Linked DNA regions of Drosophila melanogaster. The protein of the gene in region 2 interacts with the protein of the main gene of each other region in a pairwise test. Each region holds a gene or a part of one and is shown on either strand. Other genes may lie near its edges.

Region 1 (6,899 bases), on a different chromosome or scaffold from region 2:
CGATTACCAGTCAGAAGCGCTGTTCATCTTCATTGTTGTCCGTGGAGCGCTGATGGCATAATTTTCGGATTGGGTTGCCACTCAATTGCGAGCAATTTGCATAGATTTATGCTCATATACACATGAACATAAATATGTACATATGCATGCGCCCTATCCGGCTATCTAATCAATGCCCATTTGTGGCTTAAAATCCTTTTTTGATTTTTAAACTGTTCTCAAAAGGTGAATAATAAATAGGTAAGCTTAAAATAAGGTGCGTTGAGAACACGTAAGAAAAAAAAAAACGAAAATGGTATCAAATCATTTTTTTACTCGGTAACTCAAATCTTAAAATTTAATTTATTACAAGACATACTGATCTGATGACCCAATAATAAAAACATATACGATTTTTAGCGAAGTGAAAAGAAAGCTAAACTATATTTTAGGCAGTGAAAATGTAATTTTTATGAAACTGACGGATTCCTTCTTTTCATCCTTCTGTGCGACAGGAAGCCAAACAAAAGCAACATGTGTTACTTGTATGCCATGCCAGGCGTCAAAGGGCGAGAGGTTGAAAAAATCTATTAGAACGTGTCTCGCCTGCCAACGTGCTACTTTTCTGCCGTTCCCTTTATATTTTACCCGTGGGCATAATAAGCTGCGTTTTTTCGTGTGCGTGTGGGCGGGCGAGGCAGATATTTACTTATGATTGAGTTGCGTGGCAAAACCAACGAAGAGCGAAAAAAGGCAATGGCAGCCCTCGAAACAATTTGGTAAAGAGATTGTGGTTGCTTTTCTGATATTCTCACGCATTATCTGTACGTTTTTGCGCCCTTTTTCCCGGCCCTTCTTCATCGACTACGTCATGTGAGATGAAAATTTAAATTGATTTGCATTGTTTGAATGTCATTGTTGTTGCGTGGCGTTTTATTCCCTGCTTTAGCTACTTTGCATACTTTCTTTCTACCTTCGATAAAGACTTAGGCTTTTTCCAAAAGTCAAGATACAATTTTTAAAGATTTCAATTTTTGCCTTGCAATCGAACTACAAAATGCTATTGTGCTTATTTTACCCTACTTAGCTTATCTTTTTTGGTCCATGGAAATCCGACTCTGTTTAAGTCTAAAATGTATGGTTATTTATCAGTTTTCAATTTATCAGTTTTTAAACACTTTAATGGACGCAGCTCTAGGTACTAGGTACTAAAAGCTGCTATATGATATCCTAAAGGTTCTTACTGTTCTAAATACCTGGCGCATATCGGCTTTTCCATTTATTTTCCGCTTCTTTGGACTTACTCCGTTTGCTCCTTTTTGCTCACCTTTTGCTCATTCGAATGTTTCACTAAATATATATGTCAGAAGTAGAGCCATTGCACGTGCGTGGTAGGGTTTAGGGTAACTGTAATGTGTGTGTGCTACTGAGCCTTTATTTTTTTTGGGGCTATTGATTGGAAATTGAATTTATTGTTTGACATTGAAAGTATCGTCGGGTCAATTACGGTGGAAAAATGGTATCAAAATATTTACGATCTGTTTATTGCATTGTTCTAACTTAATGCTTCAAGAGAACCCTTACATATCCTCCAACCAAAGATATCCAGAAGCAACCAAATAAAACATCTGATTGGTTCACCAATTGTATGCATTGATTAGGACAATTAGGGGAAGGAAAACTAAGGAGGCGTGAAATTTAGCTTCAATGGTTTTCCGGCATGGCATCATCACAAACTAAAAGAAAAATTATATAAAATTATCCTGCGAGTTTATGGATCCCTTACCCTTGTCCTTTTCCTCATTTTTACTGAGCTTACGGTTAAGATCAGCTAGCTCTAGAGAAGCGCTCTCGAAGCCCACTAAACCTTCCTGGCAAAAATAGCCGTTCCGAATCTGAGCCGGCAATAGCTTAAGGATCAGCTCCAGATTTTGGGGATGATCAGCCAGACGAGAATAGATCCTTACTACATGTTTAAGGACCCTAGGCTCCGGTTCCAGTGTGAGTTGGTGCACAACCCTGGCCAAAGTATGGATCAGATGCAGCTTTCGTGCCAGTCTTCGACTGGCAAACTTTAAGCCCACTTCATGTTCTAAGGTGCGGTACAAGACAAATGCACAGAGCACCTTACTCATTGTGGTACCAAACTCCAGCTGCCGCAGGGTAAGTGGAATTAATTCAGTGCCCAAAAAATAAGATACGATCTCCGGATGATCTGATTTCAGTAGACCGCAAATGACGCCCAAGACAGAGAGACGAACATGCTCAACGGCGCGAGTTTGAGAAGTCATTTTAAGCAATGGCATCAAATAGCACATGAATTGGCATCGTATGAGTTGAATACCAATGAAGGGATGTGATGCCATAGCCTGAATCAGCCCAATGGCAGTGCAAATCCGGTGCGACTGTTGGCCGGTTAATTCAATTTCTTGATAAATGGCCGGATATATTGACACAATCTCTTGTAGCAAGCCACTCACAGCTCCAAAGGAATGCCATAGCAAGAGTCCTAGGCTGTCAATGTGGGTGCGCCTTTCGAATAGCTCCAGCATCGCCCAGAGACGCGTTTCTTTGTTGCAAAGATTGGCGATCCAGCCGAAGACGCTATCTATATCGCCGCGCTGTTCACAATCCATGTTTGGGGCACTCATTTAAGTTCTGCTTGGTGAGGAGTAATTAATATTTTCGCCGTGGATGTGGAATATGTATTAAGTCAAGCTGATCGATTGTAGTTTTTGTATAAGTGATATTTTTTATGAGAAATGTTTAGTACTACATGCTTTTATACTTTGACTCATTTATCTAAGCAATTCTGGTTTGGTTTACGTAAAAATAAAACTATTCTTCAACCGAATAACGTGCAATTTGAAAAACGAATTCAATATTACTTTTAAAGGAAATTATAATAAGATGCGCCATATCATTTCGGCTGAACCTTAGCCTTATATCAACTGGGCGAATGTTTAGTTGTCGGATAAACACACTGATAAGTGTTAGATAATAAGAGCGAATTCATATAAACTCTTGGGAAGTTTTATTACCGCACGCCCCCATGAATTTAGCATAACAATGGGCAAGGACATACAAGAAGTCGAATGCAAATAAATTTGCAATAGTATGTGTTTGGAATCGCGACTCGTTCCACATGCAAATCGGAAACGGAAATGTGACTCGGTCCTCTGTATGTGCGGGCCTAAAAATGCATGCTCGTCGTGTTAATTAGAGTCAGCTTTATTATCAGACAAAAACTTGCTGACCTGACAATTTTGCTTTGCTAAATCGGGACAATAAAATTTAAAACAAGAGAGAATGCTATATTCGAGTTCACGGACTATCAGATACCCGTTAATCAGCTAATGTGAAGGCGAACCCGAAATTTCATAATGTTTTTGGGGTATCGATAGATATAAGGGAATAAAATGAGAAAACATTTAAAAATAGTTCAAAAGTGTTTATGTGTCCGGTTTTTACAAGACGAATTCAATTACATCACAAAAGTGTGGGCGGTCTTGTGCGGTTTGTGGACGTTAGAGTTGGCGGGGCAACATGTTTCAGCAAACTTTTGCTGCGTCTTTGTCTCTAGAATCTGTATTCTGAATCTCAACCTTCTCTTTTTTTTATATTTCCTGAGATCTCGACGTTCATACGGACATGGCCAGATCGACTCAGCTATTGATTCTGATCAAGGATATATGTATATACTTTATATAGTCGGAAACGCTTTTGTGCCCGTTACATACTTTTAAACGAATAAGTATACCCTTTTACTCTACGAGTAACGGGTATAAAGAGACTAAAGTTTATGTACATATGTATCTGACCGCGATAAACAGAAGTTGTCAAACCATACCGTTCGCCATCTGCGGCAGTTCCCAAACAAATATTTGCCTATGCCAGCGTAATGTATATTAATTAATTATGCATCATAAAATCAAAATATAACAATTGCGCGGTCAACACTTTTTCTTATCTTTACTCGACAATCACCGATCTCTTTGTTTGGCCGCAAATTATGGAATTAGTTTTCAGCCCAATTAGGCCTGTCGGTCTCAGTTCGGTATCCTGTATAAGTACCTCTTGTTCCTATTTGATTAAAACAGGCGTAGAGCTTCAGCTTGCTGATGCTACCTTCATGTGTTGTTTAGTGATGTTTTGTTCTCGTTTTAATTTTTTCGGTGTCTATTTCATTAATTGTGTTTTATTTTTTATAATTTTGCTTTTGGCAGTTAAACAAATTGCCCTTCTGAGTAGAACAAAGTAAAATGTTTTACTTCTGATTTTTCTGAGTAACATCCACGACAAGAAAAAACGAAATGGTTCGAAAAATTAATGCATTATGCATGCGGTTTTCAATCAATATACTGTTATCTTTTTGCTGAGGTTTCTCCCTCGAACTTTTTAATAATCCTCCCCTTAAGCTACTTGGGTCTGACAATGCGCACTCAAGCGAGAAAGCACATATGGGGCAAGGGTACCAAGCTCGCATCACCCTATTACTTAAGCTTCACTGACCCATAGGCCAAATCAAAGGCCTTTGGGTCATTCTTTTTGTGTTGCGAAAAGTTTAAAAATTAATAATTCAAAGCATTATGGATTAAGGTCCGACTGGACTTGCCTCCAGGACTTGTAGAAATACAATTTTATTTGATTTCCTAAGAATGGTACTTTAATTAAAGAGTTTACCCTTTAAATTAATATTCGGTATTCTTGTTGGAAACTTGTGTAAAACTTGTCTCGTGTGGGTTAACGTGTTGTGGGGTATAAGCGGGTCATATCAAGCTAATTATTAGTTTTTTTTTATTATTACTGCAGGACCCTGGCCGATGAGCCCAAAAACATTCCCCGCGAATTTATTAAAAGCTTTAATATATTTATGCATTCGAGGCACATCAATCTTCGGCAAGGTTGAATGAGAAGCTTCTTGTGCAAGTGGGTGTTTGTATGTATGTGTGATCCGCCGCCAGGCATTTTATTCTGTATAAATGTGTGTATGCTATTCGCGGGATGCTGTAACATACGCTGCCATGGTTTGTTGAATTTGAGTTTAATGACGTGTAAAAATGTTTTCACGGCTTTTGATTATATTTTACCTTAAGCGCCTCTAAAGTTTCCCTTTCCAAGTCATGAGCGGTATCCCTTCCGCTTGTCATTCGCAATGAATAATGTGAGCATCGTGTCTCTCCGCTTTGCATATGAATACCCTTTGGAATCTTTTCTGATTAGCGACAGAGACGTACAATAGGCGCAACTGTTCTTGTTGGGTGAAAGCGGAAGCATTTTAATGACAATATTATCTACCCTCTCGCTTTTATTAGCTTCCGCTGAACTGTCACTTCTAATTTTGAATACACATACCAGACGCGAAATGTTTTTTCGGCGAAGCTAATCTTTTAATAACAATTTTTTGTGCTTATGACTAAAAAACATGTGCGCTTACATCAACCTTGATTCACACAGCAAAACAGAGCATAAGACTTAATACGTATATTTGCAAAGCTTTCAAACAAAATATTTAACTTTTCGGGCTCACTTTGACGTTAACCGAGAATATACTGTCTTCCTTTACATAATCAACATTAAAATATTTAATATCAAATATTACTTCCTTTGGAACGTAAGCAAATAGTAATGGTTGCGCTAAGTTGTTCCATTGCTCAGTTGATTTGGGATATTATATTTAATGCAAGGCCAACATTAAGTATACAAGTTTCATGCTGAAAACAAACAATGCGATCTGTTGACAATTGTACTTAGGAACTGTACAGGTTTGGGCCTTACCCTGCCCTTTCCTTTTCTTGTTTCGATTTATTTAATGCTCAAGTAAACCTCTAAAAGAGTAAAGAGTCTAGCAACACAAAAAACAATGGCACAAAGTCATAGAAAACACATAATAAATTTTAAGTACGTACAGTTTTGACTTGTTGCATTACCGTGCCAGTTCCCACTTTGCTTGACTTTTTGTTGTTGTTTGTTTTATTTTAGCGAAATGATGTTTTGCAATTCTGCTACGGCAGGCACAGGTGCTTTTACTGACCAAAGTTAAACAATTGGTCCTAGTTACAAGTCACAACAATTGTGACACTTTTAGTTGTTTAACTCGCTGGTTCTGGTTTTCTTTTCATCTCTGTTGCTATGTTTACTTGGTGTAACACCTTCTTTAAAGTAATTTCACCCACTATTATAAAAGTATACTAGACTCGGTCAAAAATATTTAACAGGAAACAAAAACAATTTCCGACCCCATAAACTGTATATTCCTAATCTGGAACACTAAACGCTGAAATCTTAAATTCAAAAAAGCTAAGATTAGCCATGTAGATTAAAGAAACATAGACACAGTGCAAATTTGTAACAAAAGATACATTTTGACGTACTGAAAACATTTTGATCACCTCTACTGTAACGCCCGCAATAGGGAAATTAAAGCCAAAAATTTGGAAAACGTGCAGATTTTTTTGTTTCACTATTTTTCTGACCAGCTCTTATATCTATGCCAAAAAAATTTTAAATTTTCTGCCTGGCGCTCCTACTAGCACAGTAAAAGGTATATAAAGCTCGAGGAAATCGAATATAGCGTCCACTCTAGTTTTTTGTTTGTAGGTTTAACTATTTGAATCTTATATATATCAACATGCTTCGTACAAGGCAGGGGTATTGGTCTATTACTTTCAACAAATGAAGCAACAGCAAATCCATTAGCCAGCTTCGGTTATAATCAACAAGCCATTCAACAGAAAAGGTTAGCTAATAATTTTCAATTTTCCGTTGTCATATACCCACCACACACGGACGCACTCATGGTCATTTTTTGCAGCTCCAACTGTGACCAGCAACTTATTGTGGTTACAAATTGTGGTAAAAGCTATCAATGATATTATCAACGGACAGACAGAGAGACCTAAGCGAACTGAACCGAACGC
Region 2 (8,723 bases):
TCGCAGACCATGAGAGTCAGGTGGAACCATTTCAAGTTATTGCTGTTTTGGCTAACGGTTTTAGCTGTCTTGGCCTTTGAAGCCGAGGCCAGGAAGCGTGTTAGGATTGGATTGCACAAGAATCCTGAACCAATTGAGGAGAACATAAAGAACGAATTGAAGACCCTTTCCATTAAACACAATTTAAATGTTGATGATACAAAAGCTAAAACGAAAACAGATACCAAGGTCCCAGGATCAAAAGTCGCAACGCTAGAAAATCTATACAACACGGAGTACTACACCACATTAGGATTCGGAAATCCGCCGCAGGATTTGAAAGTGCTGATCGACACTGGTTCGGCGAATCTCTGGGTGCTGTCATCCAAGTGTCCAGACTCGGTTGCACCCTGTGCCAATCGCATAAAGTACAACTCAAGTGCTTCCACAACCTACAGGGCTATCAATACCGCATTCAATATTGCATACGGTTCCAATTCAGAGGAAGGACCTATTGCACTCTCCGGCTTTCAGTCCCAGGACACAGTAAACTTCGCCGGATACTCCATTAAAAATCAGATCTTCGCCGAAATCACCAATGCACCAGAGACCGCATTTCTGAAGTCCCAGCTCGATGGAATTTTGGGATTGGGGTTCGCCAGCATAGCCATTAATAGTATTACCCCACCCTTCTACAACTTAATGGCCCAAGGTCTAGTAAACCGATCTGTGTTTTCGATCTACTTGAATAGAAATGGCACCAATGCCATTAACGGTGGGGAGCTGATCCTGGGAGGATCGGATTCGGGTCTGTACAGCGGGTGTTTGACCTATGTGCCAGTTTCCAGCGCAGGATACTGGCAGTTTACAATGACTAGTGCCAATCTGAATGGATTTCAGTTTTGTGAGAACTGCGAGGCCATACTCGATGTAGGCACTTCCCTAATTGTTGTGCCTGAGCAAGTCCTAGATACCATCAACCAAATATTGGGAGTTCTCAACCCGACGGCTTCGAATGGAGTCTTTTTAGTGGATTGCTCCTCGATCGGCGATCTTCCGGACATTGTCTTCACCGTTGCGCGCCGGAAGTTCCCCTTGAAGTCTAGCGACTACGTGCTCCGATATGGAAACACTTGTGTCTCGGGATTCACCAGCATGAACGGCAACTCCTTGTTGATTCTGGGCGAGATCTTCCTGGGCGCCTACTATACGACCTACGATATTGTCTACAAACTCATTGGACTGGCACCAGCAATTCATTAGGTCGTTCAAACTATATACTCAAACAAGTTCTTTAACAATTGTATTCTTTGCATTATTTACCCACTTTAATAAATAACCCCCCTTGGAAATACTAAAGCTACACCCATTGAATTTGCGTATCATTGAGCTTTCCCTATAAATCACATATTCGAGTGCCAGTCTCGAGCTTTAACCCACAATACGTGTGAATCGAAATAAACATGAACCAGATAAATCCCACATGGAAAAACTATAAATCGGGCGAAGTGACCAGGAACCCAACCAGTGAGGCACCATGAATATACGTGTGATTATCCTACTTTTCTGTCTGATTGTGTTTGTAGGCGGTAAGAAAGTACACAGATTTCGACTGGAGAGACGATCCCACCGTCACCACAAGATTCCTCACGCCCATCTGCACCTGCAGTTTCGGAATGCGCTGCGAAGGAAGTACGGATTTACTCCACTCCGTACGGTGAATGCTGTGAATGTGACCAGCGAGTCCGGTAAGGGAGTCGTGATAACCGAGCCCCTGATAAATTCCTACGATACCAACTTTTTCGGGGTTGTGTCGGTCGGAGATCAATCATTCACCATGCAATTCGACACGGGTTCCTCGGACTTTTGGGTGCCCAGTTCCCATTGCAGATTCTGCATCAAAACGTGCGGGAACAAGTTTTTCCGGAAGTCCAATTCCAAATCCTTTCGGTCAAGTGGAACTCCATTTAGCATCACCTACGGATCGGGCTCCGTGAAGGGAATCGTGGCCTCGGATAATGTTGGCTTCGGCGATCTAAAGATCCAGAACCAAGGCATTGGATTGGTCAACATATCGGACTCCTGCTCCGTTTTCGATGGAATCGCTGGCTTCGCCTTTCAGCAACTCTCTATGACCAAATCGGTCCCTTCTTTCCAGCAAATGATTGACCAACAGTTGGTGGAGCAGCCAATTTTCTCGTTTCATCTGAAAAGTGGGTCCAGTGATGGGGGCTCCATGATACTCGGTGGATCGAACTCGAGTCTGTACTACGGTCCGTTGACCTATACAAATGTGACCGAGGCCAAGTACTGGAGCTTCAAGCTGGACTTCATAGCGGTCCATGGCAAGGGTTCCAGGAGCTCCCGCACGGGGAACAAGGCCATCATGGACACGGGAACCTCCCTGATCGTTGGTCCTGTCCTGGAAGTCCTCTACATCAACAAGGACATCGGAGCCGAGCACAATAAAACCTATAACCTGTACACCGTCGCCTGTGAATCGATTCCCCAACTTCCGATCATCGTCTTTGGCATTGCTGGCAAGGAGTTCTTCGTGAAGCCACATACCTACGTCATCAGGTACGATAATTTTTGCTTCTCCGCCTTTATGGACATGCTAGGCCTGCAGTACTGGATACTCGGTGATGCCTTCATGCGGGAGAACTATGTGGAGTTCGATTGGGCTAGGAGAAGAATGGGCATAGCACCGGCTGTATGAGGGGATTATTCATTTTATTATGACTATCACACCTTGCGTGATAAGTGAATTTATTTAAAAAAATATTCGGACTATAATTTGGTAAACAAATATTACCAATTGTATAAATGGCAATGACAGAAAAAAATTCAATTACATTGTAAAAGTTGGACAAATAAATGTGAATTGTTAATGGGCGTTAATTCCGATCGATTGGACATTAGGAAATCTGACCTCTTAGCTATTTGGTGTTACTTGTGGGTTCCAACTTGATGTTCCTTTCCATTTTGTGCGGTTTGCTGACCACCGTTGCCCCCATAAATGCCACGTGGCATGCGAGGCTGTTGCTGCTGCTGCTGCTGCTGCTGATGCAGCTGTTGCAATTGTCGCAGCTGCACTTGTTGCTGAAACTCCAGATTCTTGTAGATCATGGCTGCAGCAGCAGCAGCATTGTTAGGAGCCTGAGGTTGTTGCGGGGCAGCCTGTTGCGAGTGTTGCTGGTTGTGCTGCGAAGCTTGACGCAGATTTCGAGCGATCAATTGCTGATACAGCAGAGCAAAGTCCTTGGGATTGGCGTTGGACAATGCAGCTAGATCCCCGACACTTGGACGGTGAAGCTGCTGCTGATACTGCTGTTGCTGCTGCTGCTGCTGCTGCTGTTGCGGTGGTGGCTGTGGTGCCACCTGCTGCTGCTTTTGTGGCATGTGGATATGATGGTGGCTGCGTGGCGCATTCAACTGCGGCTGTGGCGGCGCTTGGTGTCGCATCTGATGGTAAAACTGGGGAAATGGTATCTCATTGAAATTTTTAACCGAGTTGCGATTGTGGCTTTCGGTGCCAAGTTGACGATGTGGCTGCTGCTGTTGATGTTGCTGCTGTTGCTGTTGATGTTTCTGCTGTTGATGCTGATGATGTTGCTGCTGATGATGTTGCTGCTGATGATGTTGCTGCTGCTGATGTTGCTGCTGATGCTGAGGGATCTGTCTTTGTTGTTGCTGAAAGCCGCTCTGAAACACAAAATAAATGTATGGCAGTTAGCATAGGATATTTATAGTATGTGAGATAGATACGCAATTCTAAACTATTTTCAAAAAAAACCCGATAACCGTTTAATAGATTCGCGCCTGGTTGCTCATAGCTTACCCCCGGCAAGTTGGAGGCAGCGCCTTCATGTTCCGGAGTAGCTTGTCTTCTTTCATATAGAGGCACCGACTTGACGGATCGTTCGTATCCCGGGTGGGAACTCCAAGCTTGACTCACCATCGGTTTCAGGCCCGCAAGGCAGCTGGCCATGTCCTTGGGAAAGTCAAGGAAGCTCTCCCCGAACAGGGAGTAGTTTTCGGCGGCCTTGAAGTAGTTATGAGTGCCGTTCTCCGGGTAACCGATGGTATCTCCGTAGAGAACGCGCTCCACCTCGGTTACGTAAATGCTGGCACTGTCGACGGCCGCTGGCTTGCTGACACTTTCGCTGGCCGCTGGCTTGCTGGCAGATCCCATTTCACACCCCGTTCCTGATTCGCATCCACTTGGAAAATTGGGCACAGCTTCCTCAGACGCCTCCACGAGACCCAGGGAAATGTCGTTGGATGTTACGCCCCATATTTTCTTGGCCAGCTGACTGGATATGTTGACTGAGGAGGGGTAAATTGGTAGCATTATAAGCATCAATGAGACCCTGAAGTTCACTCGAAAGTTCTACCTTGAGTGGCGGCCGCAGTCTCATCTTCGTCTAGGTCATTAGATATAAGCTGGCTCTTGTTGCTGGCATTCTCGGACATCGTGCGGCTTCTAAAAACATAAACTATAAATTTGGAGGAACGAACAATATGCCTGACTTCAATAAAGTTGATCAACCGTCGCCTGCTGTGTACCGCAGCTCACTGAATAAAAACAATAGAAAAGCCTTGGTAATCGAGCAAAAGCCCAGTCAATATGCACCCAGTTTGTTTATGAAGACTGGCTTGGATTACGCAGTAAACAATTAATTAACTTACCCCGCACCACAACGAACGTCACCTACTGGCGAAGTGAAGCAAGAAGAAAAGAAATGTGACCGGTAAAAAAGATTCTGGCATAAGGATGATGGGCAGCACTGGACTATTTTGCAACACTGATTGGTTGGTCTTAATGTTATTAAAGAAAAGCCTTCAGATATGGCAGTTAAATATGATATGACCATAATAAGAGAGTTCATTTAAATATCTAACTCATAATCGGAATATTTAGGAAACTATGTAAATATCAAATCATGTTCATACGTGTGACCGCAATGTGACCGTTCATATGTGTGTAGCCGCCCAACAAAGAGCTTCTAGTAAATTTAAATAAGTGCTTGACGTAAAAGTGTCATCAGAATTAGTATAATATATCAAGGATAACTCGGTTTATTTCACTATTTGTAGTTCCAACTCGTGCTTTTTCATTTCATCAATAACAGTAGTATTTTTATTTAAAAGTTTTAACAAAGCCGTACACGAACATTTTACAATGGGTCATAAGCTAAACCAGAAGGACATCACATGGACTTAAAGTTAGATTACGGGCTCTGTGATCGCGTAACAAAATCCTGCTCCTGCGCCGCACAATTTCACTGGTGGCAGTTGTAAAAGAGTTGGGGTGCAACTGGAAAAGTAAATTAATGTAAATATGTACTTATTTTTGTGGACTAAGGTCGGTTCCTACACATTTTCGGTGCTGTTGTTGCCGCAGTTCCCATGCTCGTTCCATCCCCAGGTGTAGACCTCTCCTGCCGTAGTCCTCAGTAGACCGTGCTCGGCGCCCATGTGAATTCTGGCAGGACCCTGATCCTCAGGAAGCTTCAGGCGAAGTGGCGTGGGTATTGCCTGCTGTTCGCTGAACGAACCCATTCCCAGCTGACCGTAGCAATTGCGACCCCATACGAGGATCTCGTTGTTTTTGAGCACAGCTGCATTGTGGGTCCAACCCACGGCCAACTGACGCACATCCTCCTCAAACTGAAAGGCGTTGGACTGGCCAAACTTGTTGTCACCCAAGGTAAGGATTCTTTTGGTGCTGCCTCCACCCGTTTCGCTTAGATCCGCGCACTTGAGCACCATGTGGTTCTGACCACTCGAAATGGAAACTATCCGCAGTTCGTTGGGATTGTGGACCTGTATCTTCACCGTATTGCAGCGGTGCAGGCAGGTGGCCGTGATATCCAGCTCGATGGGCGGAGGGTCCATAATCCTCAATCGTCCGAAAACGTAGATTTTGTTGTCTTGCGTAAGGACGGCACAGTGGCGCAGGCCGAAGCTGATCCTCTGGGCGGGTTCTTCGCGTGGAAGCTTTACTGGCATTGGTCTTCTCACGGCAGTAAAGCCGCGCTGACAAATTCCCAGCTGCTGAAAGGCATTGGAGCCCCAGACAAACAGGCGTTTGGTCAACGTGATGGCTCCCGAAATGTCCCAGCCACAGCTAATGGTTTCCACAGGAACATCCTGTAATTTTATTGTTAGAGATTATGGGTTTCTAGGAGAAGCGATCATAGGCTTACTCACCCCGAAGTATTCCGTGGGGATCATCTTGAACTCGCTGTGGCACTCCTCCGTGGAATCCAGTCCCAGTTGACCACGATTGTTCCATCCGCAGGCATGAATCCGTCCGCTTGTGTCGAGGATGAGAACATGGCCACCACCTCCACGAATCAAGCGAACCTGGGCGGGGGCGAAGGAGCACTTGGCCACCCGTTGCGGTGTCATGCACAATTCGGACTCAAAGCCAAGGCCGAGCTGGCCGTGAGAATTGGCACCCTAAGACATGGCGAAAAAAGGGGCGAGAACCCAAGCCAAGGAAATCACTCATTAATTTGCAATGCAAATGCACCGTGGCGATGTCTCTGTTTCTTTCTTGTCATACCCTTGCAGAGAGTAATGTAGTTTCAGACGCAAGTTGATAAGCAATTATCGTTAGAATGGCTAAGAGATATAAAGATATTAGGCTTCTCAGATAGGCTTTTTATATAGTATAAGAAAAGTGGTAAAACAATGATTTCGAAGGTTTAACGAGGACTTGAATGATATGTTATAGGAAGTACTACGTAGTAGTTGGCCTTTAGGTAAGATATTGGTTTTGGATCTACAGGTGGCACAGAGATACGATTAATTCGAACCAACTCGTTCTCTGCAAGGGTATTTCAGTGGTCGGCTCCTTATCGAGAGTTCTACTGCGGCTCCTACCCAGGCGTAAACCTCCATTCTGGTGACCACCAGTTGCTCGTTTCGCGCCGAACTTCCGGTTGCTGTTCGTCGCCGCGATTTTCCGGGTGATTTAATGCACCGCAGTCACGCCAGGAATGCGCCTGCTGATCCGATGGTTTCGACTCCTCGATGGCCTCCAGTTGGCTCCGAAAGCGCTGCTCTGCCTTTGCCAGCACATGTAAAACTGAGGCTTGGTTCTGCTTTGGATTTACTTTTATATTTCGCGTTCTATTAGTTTCAGCGTCGCATGCTAAAATGTAAACAATGCAAATGAGGCAGCGTTGCCAGATCTTGGCGCACAGCTGTTTGGCTTACATGACTCTGCTAGATAACAGACACATGTGTACTTTTTTTACTTTCCCGCCAATATGACATTTAAATTAGGATAACTGCTTAATATTTGTGCTCAGCGCCTCTCAGCAATATGTAATTAATATTTAAATCATAGCACGGCTGACCTCCTAGGACCCAACTAATAACACTTTGCTTCCATTTAATGTCTCATTTGGTTATGGCCATAACGATTATATAATCCCGCCGGATGGGCGTGAAAATCGTGTCAAGCGCATATAAATATATTCTAATTAAAAGCAATGGAAGTTCAGGGCGAAGGTTAAAGTGCATGCAATTTTAATTAAGTTTTAATTGTCGTGCTGGGCCATGTAAGCCACAATAGTTAGCCACAATGTGAGTTGGCCTAAGAAAAATGCAGTCGAGAGTTAATGAAATACGAGAGAAACGAAGTGGAAATTGCCTAGGACTATTTGCATTCTAGTGGACTGGTATTATATCAATATATTAAAGAAATACGATGATATTAATCCAATATTATAACAAAAAATAGTTAAGTCACAGTGTCCTTACGCTTCAAAAGATCATGCATTATATAGCAATATTCGTAATCGCCAAGAAGCTCATTCGAAATCACCCACTCACAGGTGAGCTTGTTTTAATTACACCGAAATCACGGCGCTAGAAAATCGGAGCTACACAAATGGGCAACTGGCGCTAACAGCAGGACATTACAAAGCTGCAACGTTCGCCTGGCATGCTATGTGGCCAGGACCTCCTCGTCCTCCTGGAAAGTCAACCCCTCTCACGTGAAGAATGCACTGTGGTCCGCATTTGCAATTCAAAAATTGCCTGGCACACACAAAGGGTGAGCGCCCCTAAACGCTAGAAATGAAAACTGATGATTTTCACTTGATATCCGCAAACGAAGAAAAGCCATGCAAGAAAGACTGCTGCTCCACATGCAATCGAAGGTGCCCAAAGGTGATGGAAGTGGAAATCCGTTTGAATTGCAATAGCAGTCAATTAAACCACAGGGAATTAACATGTTCGCCGTCAAATTAGAATCGGAAAATCCAGAGGAAGATGGGTAAAAATAGACTACAAATTTAAATTGCAGGATATTCAAAAGTCGCCTTGGCAAACATCCATTTTTAGCGAGTCCAGTATGAACTGTTATCCATTTCTTGGCGCGAATATGACGGCTTATACGAGGACTTCCGCTGTACTGTGGTCAACTCGGAAATATATGACGGGAAATCCCCATAAAGCTATAAGCAATAAAATCAAATGATATATGAACTATTACGTAGAAGTTTATGAATTTGGCCGGATATAAAACGAGCTAAGTGAATAAATTAAAACACAATTTCCAAACAAGCACAATATTTGTAACATTAATATTAGTATTGTTTCTCAATTTGTATGTGATTTTCACATTGAATCATTTGAATCATTTTTAAATGAATTCCTTTTTGGCGGAAAATAGAGCTGTTAAGATAAGATAACAGTGCTTTTGCTGAGCTGTTACACAACAG

The links. Proteins that work in one complex are often made in the same cells at the same time.
Region 1: the proteins of CG18131 (region 2) and Pos interact in a two-hybrid assay, tested with the Drosophila melanogaster proteins (one large-scale study listed by BioGRID).

The regions. Positions count from the first base shown.
Region 1 is NT_033777.3:32,034,214-32,041,112, reverse strand, and holds Pos (poseidon), read right to left. Parts: upstream 2,784-6,899; 5' UTR 2,631-2,783; coding exon 1,766-2,630; intron 1,716-1,765; coding exon 1,684-1,715; 3' UTR 1,360-1,683; downstream 1-1,359.
Region 2 is NT_033779.5:1,495,738-1,504,460, forward strand, and holds CG18131 (uncharacterized protein), read right to left. Parts: upstream 4,872-8,723; 5' UTR 4,672-4,871; intron 4,550-4,671; exon of another isoform or gene 4,466-4,549; 5' UTR 4,456-4,465; coding exon 4,377-4,455; intron 4,309-4,376; coding exon 3,821-4,308; intron 3,685-3,820; coding exon 2,929-3,684; 3' UTR 2,718-2,928; downstream 1-2,717. Other genes in the region: CG31926 (uncharacterized protein), read left to right, coding at 10-1,242; CG31661 (uncharacterized protein), read left to right, coding at 1,517-2,698; CG7420 (uncharacterized protein), read right to left, coding at 5,177-5,299, 5,362-6,135, 6,196-6,447, 6,874-6,891.